Linked DNA regions of Astyanax mexicanus. The protein of the gene in region 1 interacts with the protein of each later gene in a pairwise test. Links are inferred from orthologs where the notes say so. Each region holds a gene or a part of one and is shown on either strand. Other genes may lie near its edges. The genes, in order: sptan1 and evlb.

Region 1 (7,989 bases):
CTGTATTTAATAAATATATGACTAAAAATGATCAAATTGAAGATCAAATTTTCAGTGATCTTCAGTGATTTTCAGTGACCACCCCTGAAATGTACCAAAATACTGGAATGTCCCAAGAGTGCTGGGAGCTAACACATTTTGGTCATTACAATGTTTTCTAAATGTTACAGGTAACATTCTTAGGGTGTTCAATGTGTCCAGTTTTTTGGATGTTTTTAGAATGTTTTTAATAATCGTTTTTATATTCATAGATTTTATCTATCTAGGAACGTCAAGTGAGAAACATAATAATAATTCTAATAACGTCCTGATGCAAATCAGTATTACATCACATTTTTTTAGAACATTCCTGGGACATTAATTCTGTGACATTACAGGTTAACCTTTTAGGCACCTTTTTATAGCGTTCTCTGTTTGCTGTGTTCATTATTGAGAATAAACTAAATCATTTAAAAATATTTTTTACTCCATGTGGTGTGTTTCATTACATTTATTACATATACTACCAGATTCAATTTGCACATGGTTGGAGGCTAAATGATTATATAGAAAATAATGAGTTTTCTTTCTTTTTAGGTTTTTCATTTCTCATTTTCAAATTAAATTTTCAGGAAAAAATACTAAATTAATCTTCTCTCTGTCCTTTAAGTGTTAATGTTTGCATCTTGTAAGAAAAGTATGAAGGAGAACATAAGTATAAATACGTAAATGCACATATAAATGAATGAATAAGTAAATAAATACATGCATAAATGATTTTATAGATTAATAAAATTAATAAATTAGTAAATACATTTTGTCATTACAAAGGACACATTAAAAATTAAATCAGGAATCTATTTCCATATTTCCAGAAATTAACCTTTATTTGGGGATGTTTGTTTATTTTTTTATTTATTCATTCATACATATAATTATTTATTTTTATATTTATTCATTAACAGGTCCTTCACAAAAAATAGCATATTGTAATAAAGTTAATTCTTTTTCATAATGAAATTAAAAAAATAAACTTTCATATATTTGAGATTCATTGCACACCAACTGAAATATTTCAGGTCTTTTATTGTTTTAATACTGATGATTTTGGCATACAGCTCATGAAAACCCCAAATTCCTATCTCACAAAATTAGCATATCATGTAAAGGTTCTCTAAACGAGCTATTAAGCTAATCATCTGAATCAACGAATTAACTCTAAACACCTGCAAAAGATTCCTGAGGCTTTTAACAACTCCCAGCCTGGTTCATTACTCAAAACCGCAATCATGGGTAAGACTGCCGACCTGACTGCTGTCCAGAAGGCCATCACTGACACAGAAAGAAATTTCGGAGCGAATAGGTTGTTCCCAGAGCGCTGTATCAAGGCACCTCAGTGGGAAGTCTGTGGGAAGGAAAAGTGTGGCAGAAAACGCTGCACAACGAGAAGAGGTGACCGGACCCTGAGGAAGATTGTGCTTCTGCGGAAGCAGTGGACTGAGTCTGGAGTAGAAACATCCAGAGCCACCGTGCACAGGAAATGGGCTACAGGTACCGCATTCCCCAGGTCAAGCCACTTTTAAACCAGAAACAGCGGCAGAAGAGTCTGACCTGGCCTACAGAGAAGCAGCACTGGACTGTTGCTCAGTGGTCCAAAGTACTTTTTTCGGATGGAAGCAAATTTTGCATGTCATTTGGAAATCACGGTGCCAGAGTCTGGAGGAAGACTGGGGAGAAGGAAATGCCAAAATGCCTGAAGTCAGTACCCACAGTCAGTGATGGTCTGGGGTGCCATGTCAGCTGCTGGTGTTGGTCCACTGTGTTTTATCAAGGACAGGGTAAATGCAGCTAGCTATCAGAAGATTGTGGAGCACTTCATGCTTCCATCTGCTGAAAAGCTATATGGAGATGAAGATTTCATTTTTCAGCACGACCTGGCACCTGCTAGGGCTGAACGATTTTGGAAAATAATCTAATTGCAATTTTTTATCTATAAATTGCGATTGCGATTTAAAATGCGATTTTTTTTGTCTTCTCAAGTATTTTTCAACAACAGAAGCAATAAATCAATCTGTTTAATAATAAACAATGTCAGATTTATTTAAAGCACAGATAACAATAAAGCAAAAAAATCTATGCTTTTCCTTTTCACCATTTGTTTTTTTTTATAGAAAAATAAATACATAAATAGCTTTTCCTTTTCACCATTTTTTTTAATTAGGAAAAACAGTAGATTGTTAACTTACTTTAACTTACTGCTCTCCAGCTAGTAACATCATGAAAAATTTAAGTGCAAAAAACATAAAGAGAATCTGCTTTAACCAACTCGTTATTTTCTGTATTTGAAGATGCAGCACTGGTCGTTGGCATTTTAGCCTTGCAAATACCACACGAGGCTTTGTGGTGTTTTTAAATGCTGAAAAAGGTTTGTAGTGTTACCTCGCGTCGTAGCAACAGTAGCAAGGCACGTTTAGCACAGTACCTGACGTTGAGCAGCATCTTCTTTTTTAAAGCCAAAGTAATTCTACACAACTGTTGTGTTCTGTCGAGCCTGAAGCCATTGTGCAACAAGGGCGTTTTCACACCTGTAGTTCGTTTCTAATGAGTTTGTTTACTTGGAGCGTTTTCTCGCTCTGTTCGGTCTGGTTTCCCACAGGCATAAATTAGGGGTTCACCTAATACCCCGGGGGTTCAGCCACTGCCCCTCGGTTATCAGTCACTGCCCCCGCCGCGGGGTTCAGCTAATGCCCGGCGGCCATCAGCCACTGCCCCCGCTGCGGGGTTCTTCTAATACCCCGGGGGTTCAGCCACTGCCCCGCGGTTATCAGCCACTGCCCCTGCCGCGGGGTTCACCTAATACCCCGGGGGTTCAGCCACTGCCCCGCGGTTATCAGCCACTGCCCCCGCCGCGGGGTTCAGCCACTGCCCCCGCCGCGGGGTTCAGCTAATGCCCGGCGGGCATCAGCCACTGCCCGGCGGTTATCAGCCACTGCCCCCGCCGCGGGGTTCAGCTAATGCCCGGCGGGCATCAGCCACTGCCCCGCGGTTATCAGCCACTGCCCCCGCCGCGGGGTTCAGCTAATGCCCAGCGGCCATCAGCCACTGTCCACTGTTCAGGTAATACAGTACAGGAGTGGCTGAACCCCGCGGGGCAGTGGCTTAACTCCGTGGGGCATTAGCTGAACCCCGCAGCGGGGGCATTAGCTGATGGCCGCGGGGCAGTGGCTGAACTCCGTGGGGTATTAGCTGAACCCCGCAGCGGGGGCATTAGCTGATGGCCGCGTGGCATTAGCTGAACCCCGCGGCGGGGGCAGTGGCTGATGGCCGCGTGGCATTAGCTGAACCCCGCGGCGGGGGCAGTGGCTGATGGCTGCGTGGCATTAGCTGAACCCCGCGGCGGGGGCAGTGGCTGATAACCGGGGGGCAGTGGCTGAACCCCGCGGCGGGGGCAGTGGCTGATGGCCGCGTGGCATTAGCTGAACATCAGGGTAGCAACAGGACAGGGATAGTTTAAGTATTTACTGTTGCTGCTAAAATACGTGCCACAAAACATAGTTTAGTGTCCATAACTCCACTCTCTCATCGTAACGCAGCTTGACTGACAAGGAGGGTCCGCATCAAGCACTTCCTGTGTGTTAGACCCTCCCTTTCCGTCAGAAATCGCAGTTTGTAAAAGTGTTTCAGCGTTTGTAAAAGTGTTTTAGCATTTGTAAAAGTGTTTCAGCGTTTGTAAAAGTGTTTTAGCGTTTGTAAAAGTGTTTCAGCGTTTGTAAAAGTGTTTCAGCGTTTGTAAAAGTGTTTTAGCGTTTGTAAAAGTGTTTCAGCGTTTGTAAAAGTGTTTCAGCGTTTGTAAAAGTGTTTTAGCGTTTGTAAAAGTGTTTCAGCGTTTGTAAAAGTGTTTTAGTGCTGGTAAAAGTGTTTCAGCATTTGTAAAAGTGTTTCAGTGCTGGGAAAAGTGTTTTGCGTCTTGTAAATTTGTTTTAAGTTTTGTAAATGTGTTTTAGTTTTTGTAATTTTGTTTTCTGACATGTTAATTTGTTTTGCACTTCAGGGCCACCGTAGGAGTGCGATTACTGTTTTTACACCTGCTCAATCGAACCGCACTAAAGTTCCAGAGTTCGTTTTAACCGGACCAAATAGTGCTGGTGTGAAAACGCCCTAAAGTGCGCTGTGTTGACTTCACTTCTCCACCTCCCTGCCTTCTGCTCGGGTATGCTCCGCTCGTCCTCGGGTATGCTCCGCTCGTCCTCGGCTTGGCTCGCTCTCAAGTCACGTGACCAGTCAAATCGCAGCCAGTGCGGTTAGAGAATCGCGTTTTAAAATATCGCGAGATGCAAATGCAATTAATCGTTCAGCCCTAGCACCTGCTCACAATGCCAAAACCACTGGTAAATGGTTTACTGATCATGGTATTACTCTGCTCAATTGGCCTGCCAACTCTCCTGACCTGAACCCCATAGAAAATCTGTGGGATATTGTGAAGAGAAAGTTGAGAGACGCAAGACCCAACACTCTGGATGAGCTTAAGGCCCCTATTGAAGCATCCTGGGCCTCTATAACACCTCAGCAGTGCCACAGGCTGATTGCCTCCATGCCACGCCGCATTGAAGCAGTCATTTCTGCAAAAGGATTCCTGACCAAGTATTGAGTTCATAACTGAACATAATTATTTGAAGGTTGACTTTTTTTGTATTAAAAACACTTTTCTTTTATTGGTCGGATGAAATGTGCTATTTTTTGGGATTTTTGTTTTTTCTTTACTTTTTTGCCAAAAGCATCTATATTAAAACAATAAAAGGCTTCAACTACTTCAGTTGTGTGTAATGAATCTAAAATATATGAAAGTCATTACAGAAAATAATGAACTTTATCACAATATGCTAATTTTTTGAGAAGGACCCGTATATGTGCATTTTTTTTGTCATTTTTCGTCATTCACCCTGAGTGCACCGTAATCTGCTCTCTGGCAGCGGAGACTCGGCATTTATCGGCAGCGCTCGGAACCGCTCGGCGAGTTGCTGCGGCGCCAGACGTCATCGCCTCTGAAGGCCTCGCTGGTTTCAGTCATAGAGCGAGATCGCGATTACAGTACGAGCGTAGGCTGCACCCTGCCCTGACCCGGTCCAGCAGATCCTTACACCTTTAACTCAGCGAGGTAAGAAGCTCTGCCGCCGCCCGAGGGGACCTGTATAGATATAGAGCGGTTTAACACAGCAGCAGCTGTGTGTGTTTAAGCGTTTCTGCAGAGCTAAATCATAATTACGGTTGGTACAGTTTACGGCATTAGCAACGCCGAGGGGCCCGGTCACCGCTCACCATTCACCAGCTTACACTCACCTTCAGTTCGGAGTCTGCAGCTTATTGTACTTTTTTGCATAGTTAATAACGTTATTTATTAGCGCTATTTAATTAGCTAACCGAATATAGCAGTTAAGCATTGTTATTTCGAGGCGAGCGTTAGCAAGGTTAGCTAGTTAATGCTCCGTATGTTTTTGCAGTTTTGCCCAGAACACATAATACTAACCTAATTTAGGTTGTAGGTAGCTATAGCTGAACGTTACGCCATTTTAGCTAACCGTTTAGCCCGTTCAATATTAGCTAGTGAAGTATTTCATAAACTATTGACAATAACAGTATTTTCATGAACGAAATCAACGTATTTTACCGTCTTTCACCGTCTGCAAAGCAGACTAGCTGTGCTATAGCTGTGTAGAGGTGGGTAACCCAGGTCCAGAAAATAAAAATCCATCCCAGGGTTTTGCCTGGGCGGCTCTTTGTTTAGCTAAGCTGCAGCAGAGCCGCCCAGGCAGTTGCTACAAAACCCTGGGATGGAGTTTTACTCGTTAGCGCTGTAGCCACCCGGGTGGCGGTTTAGCTGCAACAGCTGTAGGTTAACTAGGTTAGCTCGGTTGTCGATCTCCTAATCATCGTAAAATACACTACTGTCCAGCAAAATTCATACAGAGGAAGAATGAACGAGCTGTAAAACGTAGCTCTCTAGTCCTTCACTGTGTCTGCAGGTCTATATAAACGTTCAAATCGATCTTTTTCGTCTGCAGTGACAAACAGCTATGTTCGAGGAGCCGCCCAGCTCTCCTCTCTCAATGAATTTAGATAAGCGACCTGAAAACAACCACATTCATCGAGGCTTTCCATTAAATTACAGTGTGTATAAAATATTAATACAACTCTAGGCTGGATATTTCAAATATCACATCGAGAGTAACGTCTGAATATCATTAAATGGGCATTAATTAATCTCAAAAAGAATTTCACAAAATGCATTAGCACAGTGTACAGACATGGCGAAGATAGCTAGTAAAAAAAATAAATATGATTAATAATAATATACGGTGTAAACACAAGTAAAATACATGTATAACTATAAAACACCTGTTTTTATAGTTTATATTTATACAATGTGTAGTATAGTGTAACTATACAGTCCAGTGTAAGCAGTACAGCAGGTAAAGTCTCTGTACATTGTAAACATTCAGTGAGCTAGATTTATGTTAACATGTATAATTCTCTGCAATCACACTCGCAGTTTCTGTAGGAACTGCAATCTAGTTGTATATGAGTTCTGTAGTCAGTGTCTAAAGGGTGGATATTAATGAATGGATGCATTGCCAGTATTTGCCTTTAACAAACAAACAATTCCTGTAAAAACAAATAGAACTGGATGTTTGCACCCATTAAGTATTGTGGAATTATTATAAAGGACCTAAAGAGTCACTCTGGTTTTAAAAATGCATTAGTAGGTGTAGATCAGGTTAAATGTTTGCCTTCTTATGCCTACCCTGACTGGGTGTCAGCAGCTGCGTTCCCTACCAGAATTCCTCTAATTCCATTCAGACTTAGTGCCTTTATAATGATGGGGAACTGTTCAGCTACTAAGTGAACCATTTTTTGGTGTTGTTTTTTGTTGTTGTTTTTTGGGGAGGGTAAGACTGAAATTAAATCCTCAGATATACATGATCTCAGCTCTGCTGTGTCATTCACTATCACCATGACATGCCCACAGAGCAGTTGATCGGCTGCAGAGCTGCTTCAAATGAATGAAAGAAATAGTGGAATGTTTTTGTGCTTGGCCCTAATTAGCATGCATGGCTTGTGATCTGTACATAAAAAAAACACACTAAAACCCACAAGTGGTTTGTTTCTCCTCAGAGGACATGAATGAGGTGACATTTACAGTCAGTGTGTGAGCTTTAGTTTCTTCAGACGCTCTGAATTGCAGTTGCTATTCACATTTTGGGCCTATTTTGGTAAGAGAGCCTTGGATATTATATTCTGTTACACCTATGCAGTCTGTTGTTCATGTGTTATTTAGGTATTTAGCAATGATATCAGCCACCTACCCAGACCAGTGTCTGATAGAGGAAGGACGTCCAGTAAGGAATGCTCTCCTCCCTTTTCCTTTTCCTCTGGAGCTGATGTAATGCACACCGACTTTAAACCTCTCCTCCAATGGGTGTGGTCCCAAAAGCTAAAGCACTGGAACTTGGGGTCCTTCTCAGGGGCCCTTGGGATCAAGCTGCTTCCTCTTGCACAGCTGTGCATTGTAGCTGACTCAAGTCTACACCCATAATATCCATGCAAAAAAAACTCTTTCTGCCTTTCTGCTCAGGTGAAATGGTTGTAAACAAAAAAGTTTTAGTATCCATGACAGATTTTTTTAGTACACATTTTAACAATTAATGGGAACGGTTCTTTGAGCAGTGCCACAAAAAAAACATTTTGTTACAGATTTTGTTTTTAAATTGAAGTTTGTGTGTGTGCAAATTATTTTAATGTAAACCTGTTTATTGAACTAAAGTGGTTCTTTTATGACATTGCTCAAAAACACTTTGTAGCACCTAAGCCTTTCATCATGATTTATTTTTAAGGTGATGTACTCTCCCACAAATTATTGCAATAAACAGTAGTATTGTCATACTAACACCATCATGTTATGACACTGATATAGTGAAAATATAATGATAAAAAAAATAATAATCCAGTTACATT
Region 2 (7,798 bases), on another chromosome or scaffold:
ACCTCATTATTGATTGTACAGTAGGCCACAGTGTCTGTCTGTAGCCTGGATCTGATGCCATGAACTCACTGTTCCACTCAATCCAGCTGACCAGCATTACCACCAGCATTAATAGCACCAGCACACTTAGCCCTAGAGCAGTGAACTGTAAACAGCCAGAAAATCCACACCACAAAACCCAACAGCCACACCACAGTAAATATGTGTGACCCAGCTCCACTGCTAAAAGCCCCTACACTGTGGTCTGGCTGATGTTCACTCATTATAGTGCAAACAGAAAGAAGAATTGATATTCCTATAAAAGTGACAGGACAAACTATCTGACAACCTCCATCCAAAGCAGACACACTGCTTTTCTTCATGGGTCATTAATAGTGACTTGTTTTTCAGTCAGTAATTTTCCACCCTGCTTCTTATTCTACAGGTCTCTGTGAGGTTGGAGTTGGTGAAACATCTCTTTACTAAAACAATATGTGACAAATCCCTATGGATAGCAAATAAAATCTCTTCTCTGGCCCTGATTCCTGCAGGACAGGGTATGGATTTATAGCCGGTAATACAATCCTTGCTCTGCAGGAACAACCACCAGCTCTACGTCCAAGTCAAACACACACAGCGATTATCTCCCAAACCAGAGAAAACACACTCTGAATGTGAGTCAAACACATTCTGGAGGAGCATGCAGGCGACCGTGCCAAACTCAAAATCCAGTGGTGAGGCTTGAGTTTTTTTTCTTCTTCTACAGTCCAGCAGGAAGGATTGAGCCATCGCAGAAATAAAATCTGATTAGGACCAAAAATACCCGGCCCGGGTCTTTAAATCGGCTCTAATCGTGCGATTGGGAGAAAAAATGGATGGGTCCTGCCGAGAGGCAAGAGATTAGAGGGCGAGATGAAATCTGAAACGATGGATGAGTGGAGAAATGGACAGATAAAGTCAGGTTGGCGATGAAAGCACAGGGTTACTGAGAACGCTAGGCCCTGATCCCAGTCGAAAAACAAACTGTTTAACTCAGAACTGAAGAGAGCAGGTTCTGGAAATGTAGTAAAACTCACCATATTTTATTACTGTGATTAGTAACAGTGTTGTGACAAAAAAAAAATCTAAAAATTGGGGAAAAGAAGGAAAAATCCCAAATTCCAAATAAGAATATTGTCATTTAGAGAATTTATTTGCAGAAAATGAGAAATGGCGGATAAAAAAGATGCAGAGCTTTCAGACCTCAAATAATTCATATTCATAAAAGTTTTAAAAGTTCAGAAATCAATATTGGTGGAATAACCCTGTTTTTTAATGACAGTTTTTAATGCATCTCCTCCACCAGTCTTACACGCTGCTTTTAGATAACTTTATGCCACTCCTGGTGCAAAAATTCAAGCAGTTCAGCTTGGTAGGATGGCTTGTGATAATCCATCTTCCTCTTGATTATATTCCAGATGTTTTTAATTTGGTTAAATCAAAGAAACTCATAATTTCTAAGTGGTCTCTTATTTTTTTCCAGAGCTGTATGTTTGCCAAAAGTCATGAGACAGGACTTAGTATTGTGTCCCATTATTTTTTGCCATTGCCATGTCTAGTGGAAGTGAGTGAGTGGGCCATCTGCACTGAATAGGGATGTGATTATTTCCAGTTGGTTAACTGTTTACACAGACAATTCTAATCAAATGCTGCAGATTGGCCACAGTTATTACCATCTACTGCACTGTGCACTGTGGATGGTAATGCCATCTATGATGTATTTCCAGTCTGCATGTGACCCTGTGGATTTAGGAATATTAAATGCCAGTGCAAAGAAATGGAATGTCCCAACCAGCTAACAAAACTCAAACAGTCCATGTGTTCAACCTCAATCTCAAAATAAGAATTTTAAATTTATACAAATGTGTCTTTTCCCAAGTTACCCCCTCAGGTAACAGGTAACGATCAATTTACATACTGCTATCCCATGTACAAACAGCCCCAGCGGTGCTCCCTACAGGTTTGTTGTACACTGTGTCATGTGCATCAGTTCTTTTGAACGGTACCTGAGCAACCAATAAAAGTGATGCTCCCCTGCATCTCAAAGATGCTCTTTCTTTAGAAACCTGTGTTAGAAAGTGCTGATTCAAGCTCAGAAGGTCAGCAGCACCATCCTACACTATTGAATGTAGACTGAGAATGCAGACCTTTGAAGTTATACAGCTAGAACTCAAGAGTATTCTGCTCTAACTGTACTGCTGATGCAGCTTCACGAGGCCTCGGAGGAATCACCTTCACCAACAGCCTGCAGAAGGCGAGAAAGACAGAGCGAGACACAGGGAAAACAAAAGAGCCACAGTCTTACACTTCAATTGCATTAAGAGCATCTGTGTCGGCGCTAGCCGCAGCCTGGCAAGCTCCAGCAGAGACTGTAAATCAAGCATCCTCCAAACCTCCTCATTCTCATAAAAGCCGCTCAATTAGAATTCCGCTCCACACCTCCGAGCAGCCACAGAGGACAGCGGGCAGCTGCCACTGAAACCTACCTGATCTTATACTCGGTGACCTGAGCGCCAGCATCACAGTAGATCTGGGGGAAGTAGAAGCGGTGTGACTGGAGGTTAATATCCATCGCTTCAGGTCATAGCAGAGAGGAACAGGTTGCTCTTTCCTCTTTCTCCTCTACCTTCTGACCGGCCGTCTCGTTCACTCGCTCGTTTGCTCGGTGGGTGTCAGGATCCCCTCCCCCTCTTCCGTTCTCACTACCCTTGTAGTAGATCTTAACGTTAATGGTTCAGTAACTGAAACAGCAGAAGCATCTCAGCCACCTTGTCCAAAGCAGAAAGGAGTTGCAGAAAGGCCAACGTCCATCACACACAGCACTCTTTCACACACTCCTAGCTTCTTTCTAAAACCCCAATCCTTGAAGAGCTCGGCAGAGTCAATAGTCAAAAAGAGGAAAAAATGAAAATCAAATTAACTGTGATAAGCTTTAAAAAGAAAAAGAGCTGTAATCTCATCCTCAGTCAATCAGAGCAGACGAAGAGCGCCGCACTGGAGGAGCACATTAATGAGTGAGTAGTGGAAAGAGAGAGAGAATGAGAGAGAGAAAGAGAGAGAGAGAGAGAGAGAGATAGAGTGCTCTTCTCGGTTGAATGAAATTATGATGCTCGCTATGAGGCATCACCCTCGCACTGACTCTCTCTCTTTCTCGTTTCATCTAGTGGATTACCAGCTCCCTCCCCCAACCCTACATCTCTCCATCCCTCCCTTCCTCTATCCTTCTCTCCTCCTCCTCCTCCCCTTCCAGCTGTGACATGAGAGATGGTCGGCTAGCCCCATAGGCCAGGAGCCCCCCTCCCCCTCAATGCCAATGCTGCTGGCTCCTCCTCTTTCCCTCTCTCTCTCTCTCTTCTTCTCTCCCTCCATCTATTCATTCCTCAGTTCTCCCTCTCCCTTCCTCACTCCATTCCTCCTCGCTCTCTGTGTTAGGGAGTAGTCAGCTCTAATGTTAAACCAGTGTGGACAGTGGGGAGGGGTGTGGTTGTGACTGTTAATTAATAAAGGGCATTTGTGGCTTTTTGATCAAGATCAAGATCAAGTGAAGAATTAAAGCGACAGGAGGATCTTCCATCACCCTCCCAGTGATGGGGATACTATAACGTTCCATACAATCTGTCTTTCATTCTGACTGGGCCATTTAAACCCCAGTTGTCACTTAACATGTTTGAACATTTTGATCTCACATGAATTCCTATTATTATGAATTCCGATTATATTTCGAACATGTAGTGTAGTACATGTACACATACACTATATGTCAGTTTCCCAGCCAGGGATTAAGACTAGTGTTAGGCTTTCCGTTGCTGTGTAGCCCAAGACTAGGCTAAAATTATATCTGGGAATCTGCTTCTATATGTACAAATGTTTGTGGACACACCTTCTAATGAATGCATTCAGCTGATTTAAGGGTGTTTTCACACCAGAATTTTTTATTCTGCTTGGATTGAAGTAAGTAAATGATGTGGGGTTGATGCTGCAGTTGGTCAGGTCTGGGTTTTAGCAACAATATGTGCTGAAAGAATGAGGTCAGCTGACTACCTGAATATACTGAATATAGACCAGGTTATTCCATCAATGGATTTTTTCTTCCCTGATGACACGGGCATATTCCAAGAGGACAATGTCAGGATTCATGGGTCTGGAATTGTGAAAAAAAATGATTCAGGGAGCATGAGATCATCATTTTCACACACGAATTGTTCACCACAGACTCCAAACTTTAACCCCATTGAAAATCTTTGGGATGTGCTGGTGAAGGCTTTGTGCAGCGGTCAGACTCTACCATACATCTTGTTACATTGCAGAAGCTTATCGAAACAATGCCACAGTGAATGCGTCCCTCTATCAGACCTAAAGACGCTCCAATGAAATATTAGAGTTTGTGACCTTTTTTTTCAGCCAGGCAGTGTAGAATAGAATAGAATAGAATAGAATAGAATAGGACTCTCTGAAGAAGAGAGTCCTGAGGAACATGAACCTTTAGGCAACATGCCTGCTGCCAGGCGTCGGCTAGAGGGATATAATTCATAGCATTGAGCTATGAAGAAGTTGAACTGTGCTGTCTGGAATGGCAATCAGGTTCTTACAGTAATGATTTACAATCTAGCAAAAAGTATTCTCTGGACAATACTGACAGTTACTCCAACAAAAGCAGGATAAACTTGTTTTTTAATAACCTTGATTTCAGAAGAAACTATTAATGCCAAAGTGTCCATGCAGTAAATAATGACAGAAAGTCCAGTACGGTCTGTCACACTTACTGACCTCAGAAACAATTTACAGAGCTGCTGCTGATACAGTCTAGTCTGCACAGCTTTATGTTGTTTAATATGGTCATTACCTATGATGCATTTGTGAAGTGTAAGAGCATAGGTAGTGCTTTCCTGTGATTGCAGTGTACAGCACAGAGTAGAGGCCATGTCCTGTCTTCTGCTTATTCAGAAGGTTCTGTTTGTATTATTTTCTGATGTGTTGCACTAGATTGTGTAATCCTATCACAAAGCTTTATGTAATTTTATACAATCATACCAAATCGTTTTTTCTCTGATTCAGTCCCAAAAGGTATCTGCAAGACTTAAGCAAAAACAAATGTTGTGACTGATCTGCAGTCTTTTCTGTAGTCTTTTTAAGTATTACATCATCAGTTATTTATCAGTTTACATCCTAGAATCAAATTTAGGAATCTAAAAATAAAAATCATATATTACAAAAATGTTACAGAAAATACTGTGAGGTGAGTATAAGCTGATATTAAAATGTTATATCATGATTATCTAACGTTTTATCAAATTTTAAAAGATGACCTTCATATTTTAAGCAGTACTCTGTATGAGGTATACTACATGTGCTATAGCAGTGGGCAATATGGCTCTAGAAATGTCACAGTATTTCAGGATATTTTTGATTTATTCTTGTCAACATGAAAGAAAACATTGAAAATATTTTGTTAATATCCAGAAAATACTACTGCAATAAAAAAATAACAATAGAAACATAATATCTCTAAGTCTATGTGTACTTCGTAAAAAGCAGTAAGGTATTTCATCCATAATGTGCGGATAAAATGAAAAATGTCTTTCTCAATAAGAGCAGCAGCTGCCAGTGAACCTCCTATTAAATCCATAACAATCAATAGGCCTCTAGCAGACCTGTAGCCTATATGTAGTTCATTAACTCAGAAAGCCTACACACTGATTAAATTACATAAATTAAATTAGATCCAGGAACAAAGGCATACATTCTGATCTCCAGTCCATTTAATCGCGTCTCTCTGATGTTATTACCAGGTCAACACATGCATTTAGTAATGATACTTATTGCTGGAAAAGGAATCTAATATGCTCACACGTATCATACTTTAACAGTAATTAATGTACGCTTACATTCTAAAACAGCTATATTCTAGACCCAAGTTATCATAGAAGTAACACAAGTTACAGATTATGACTTAACTTGGCTTATGATCTAAAACATACTGATTCTTCTATACATTTTTATGGTTGCACATTGCAAAGCACTGCAAAAATATATAGTTATTCATCTGTTTTCCATTTTGATAATTTTTATCTGAGATGTTTGTGGCATAACTTGGCCGGTTTTGAGATTTCAACTCCAGATTTTCATTCTAATTGTGTGATGCATACAGGGTGAAAAAGTTACAGTGATACAAATGCACTTTTATTACCTAAAAATCAATACAGAAACTCACAGCACATTACCTGTGAGAACAACTTGGGAAACCATAGCAACCGCCTTGTAACCACCTAGCAACCACAAAGTCAACATCCTAGCAGCTGAAATCCTACAGCAATAATCATACCTAACTAAAGAACCCATCTTGTGTTAGAAATACTATAGCAACCACCTGATACACCAGGTATCACCTACCACTTAAAAACACCACTGCAACCACCTGCGATACTGAAGCATTCAGGTGGCTACACCATAACAACCTCTTAGTAATACCAGTGCCACCACCTTGGACGCCATAGCATTTAGTTATCCACACCATAGCAACCTCTTAGAAACACCACAGCAACCACCTGGTATACCATAGCCTTAATTTAGCTACACCATAGCAGCATCTTAAGAACACGACAGCAACCACCTGGTATACCATAGCCTTAATTTAGCTACATCATAGCAACCTCTTAGAAACACCACCAAAGATACTATAGCATTTAATTAGCTACACCAAAGCAACATCTTAGAAACACCACAGCAACCATCTGGAATACCACATTAATCGCCTTCCAACCAGCTAGCAACACCATGAAAACCACCAGGAATACCATAGTTACCATTAAGCAACAGTTAACTGCAAGGAAAAGGAATGCACTTGAGCTATTAAGTATATTTTTATATTAGCAAAGTCATGTAAACGATATTATAGCTTTAATGGGACAAACTAGCATTTTTCACAAAATAAAAATTAATTGATTTTTATAAGAAATCAAATGAAGAGCTGAAAGATTTGTTAGAATTAAAATAATACATTTACTGACTGGCAACTGCTTGTTACAAGCAAAAACTGCTTGTTGAAAGCGAAGTGACATCAGCATTAAAAGAAAAGACTAGCTTCAGACATGCTAAAGACCTGTTACTGAATCTAAAAAATGAATGAATCACTACTTGTGTACCTTTTCAGCAATAACAGACTATTAGAAATAGCGATTAATGCTTCCAATTTCTTTACTGTATTATTATTTAATGTATCATTATTTATACGTGTGATTTTCTGTTTGTTAAGAGTGGACAGGAAGAGAACATACAAATCCCTGAGAACCAGGAAGTGGAGTGTTCAGCTAGGTTCCGAAAACCCTAATCATAACACTAATCATACATTATATACAGTCAGCCATCAACACAAACAGGTAGGTAGATGTATAGATATGGAAATATTGTAGAGGCTGTTTAGACAAAGGTACATGCAGCCCCTCCCCCCAGCACCATCCCCACCACTCTCTCTCTCTCTCTCTCTCCAGCAGGTTCCTGCCTGACTGCAGATTGCATTCTAATCCTTAAAGGGGAACACCTCCATTTGAGCTCAGCCAAGAGTGTCTACTGTAACTGTACAGCCATTAGCGCAATACAGAGGAGCTCAGCCTTCTGTTAGACTCGCACCCGATCACACTGGATACAGAGCAGCACTACTGAGAGTGAAATTAAAGGGGGGAGAAACACAGATGAACAGATTGAGGCAGAGATGAGTAATTAAATAAGCATATGAATGAAGCAGAAGCAGAGCCATCAAACCTAATTCAGTTTTACTGGAGGA

Evidence for each region.
Region 2: the proteins of sptan1 (region 1) and evlb interact in binary tests that used the Homo sapiens proteins (3 or more experiments, as listed by UniProt). The link is inferred for Astyanax mexicanus from reciprocal best matches to the Homo sapiens genes SPTAN1 and EVL.

What each region holds. Positions count from the first base shown.
Region 1 is NC_064424.1:38,748,103-38,756,091, forward strand, and holds the start of sptan1 (spectrin alpha chain, non-erythrocytic 1), read left to right. Parts: upstream 1-4,987; 5' UTR 4,988-5,134; intron 5,135-7,989. UniProt on the Homo sapiens protein: Fodrin, which seems to be involved in secretion, interacts with calmodulin in a calcium-dependent manner and is thus candidate for the calcium-dependent movement of the cytoskeleton at the membrane.
Region 2 is NC_064408.1:73,273,066-73,280,863, reverse strand, and holds the start of evlb (enah/Vasp-like b), read right to left. Parts: upstream 3,148-7,798; 5' UTR 2,591-3,147; coding exon 2,505-2,590; intron 1-2,504. UniProt on the Homo sapiens protein: Ena/VASP proteins are actin-associated proteins involved in a range of processes dependent on cytoskeleton remodeling and cell polarity such as axon guidance and lamellipodial and filopodial dynamics in migrating cells.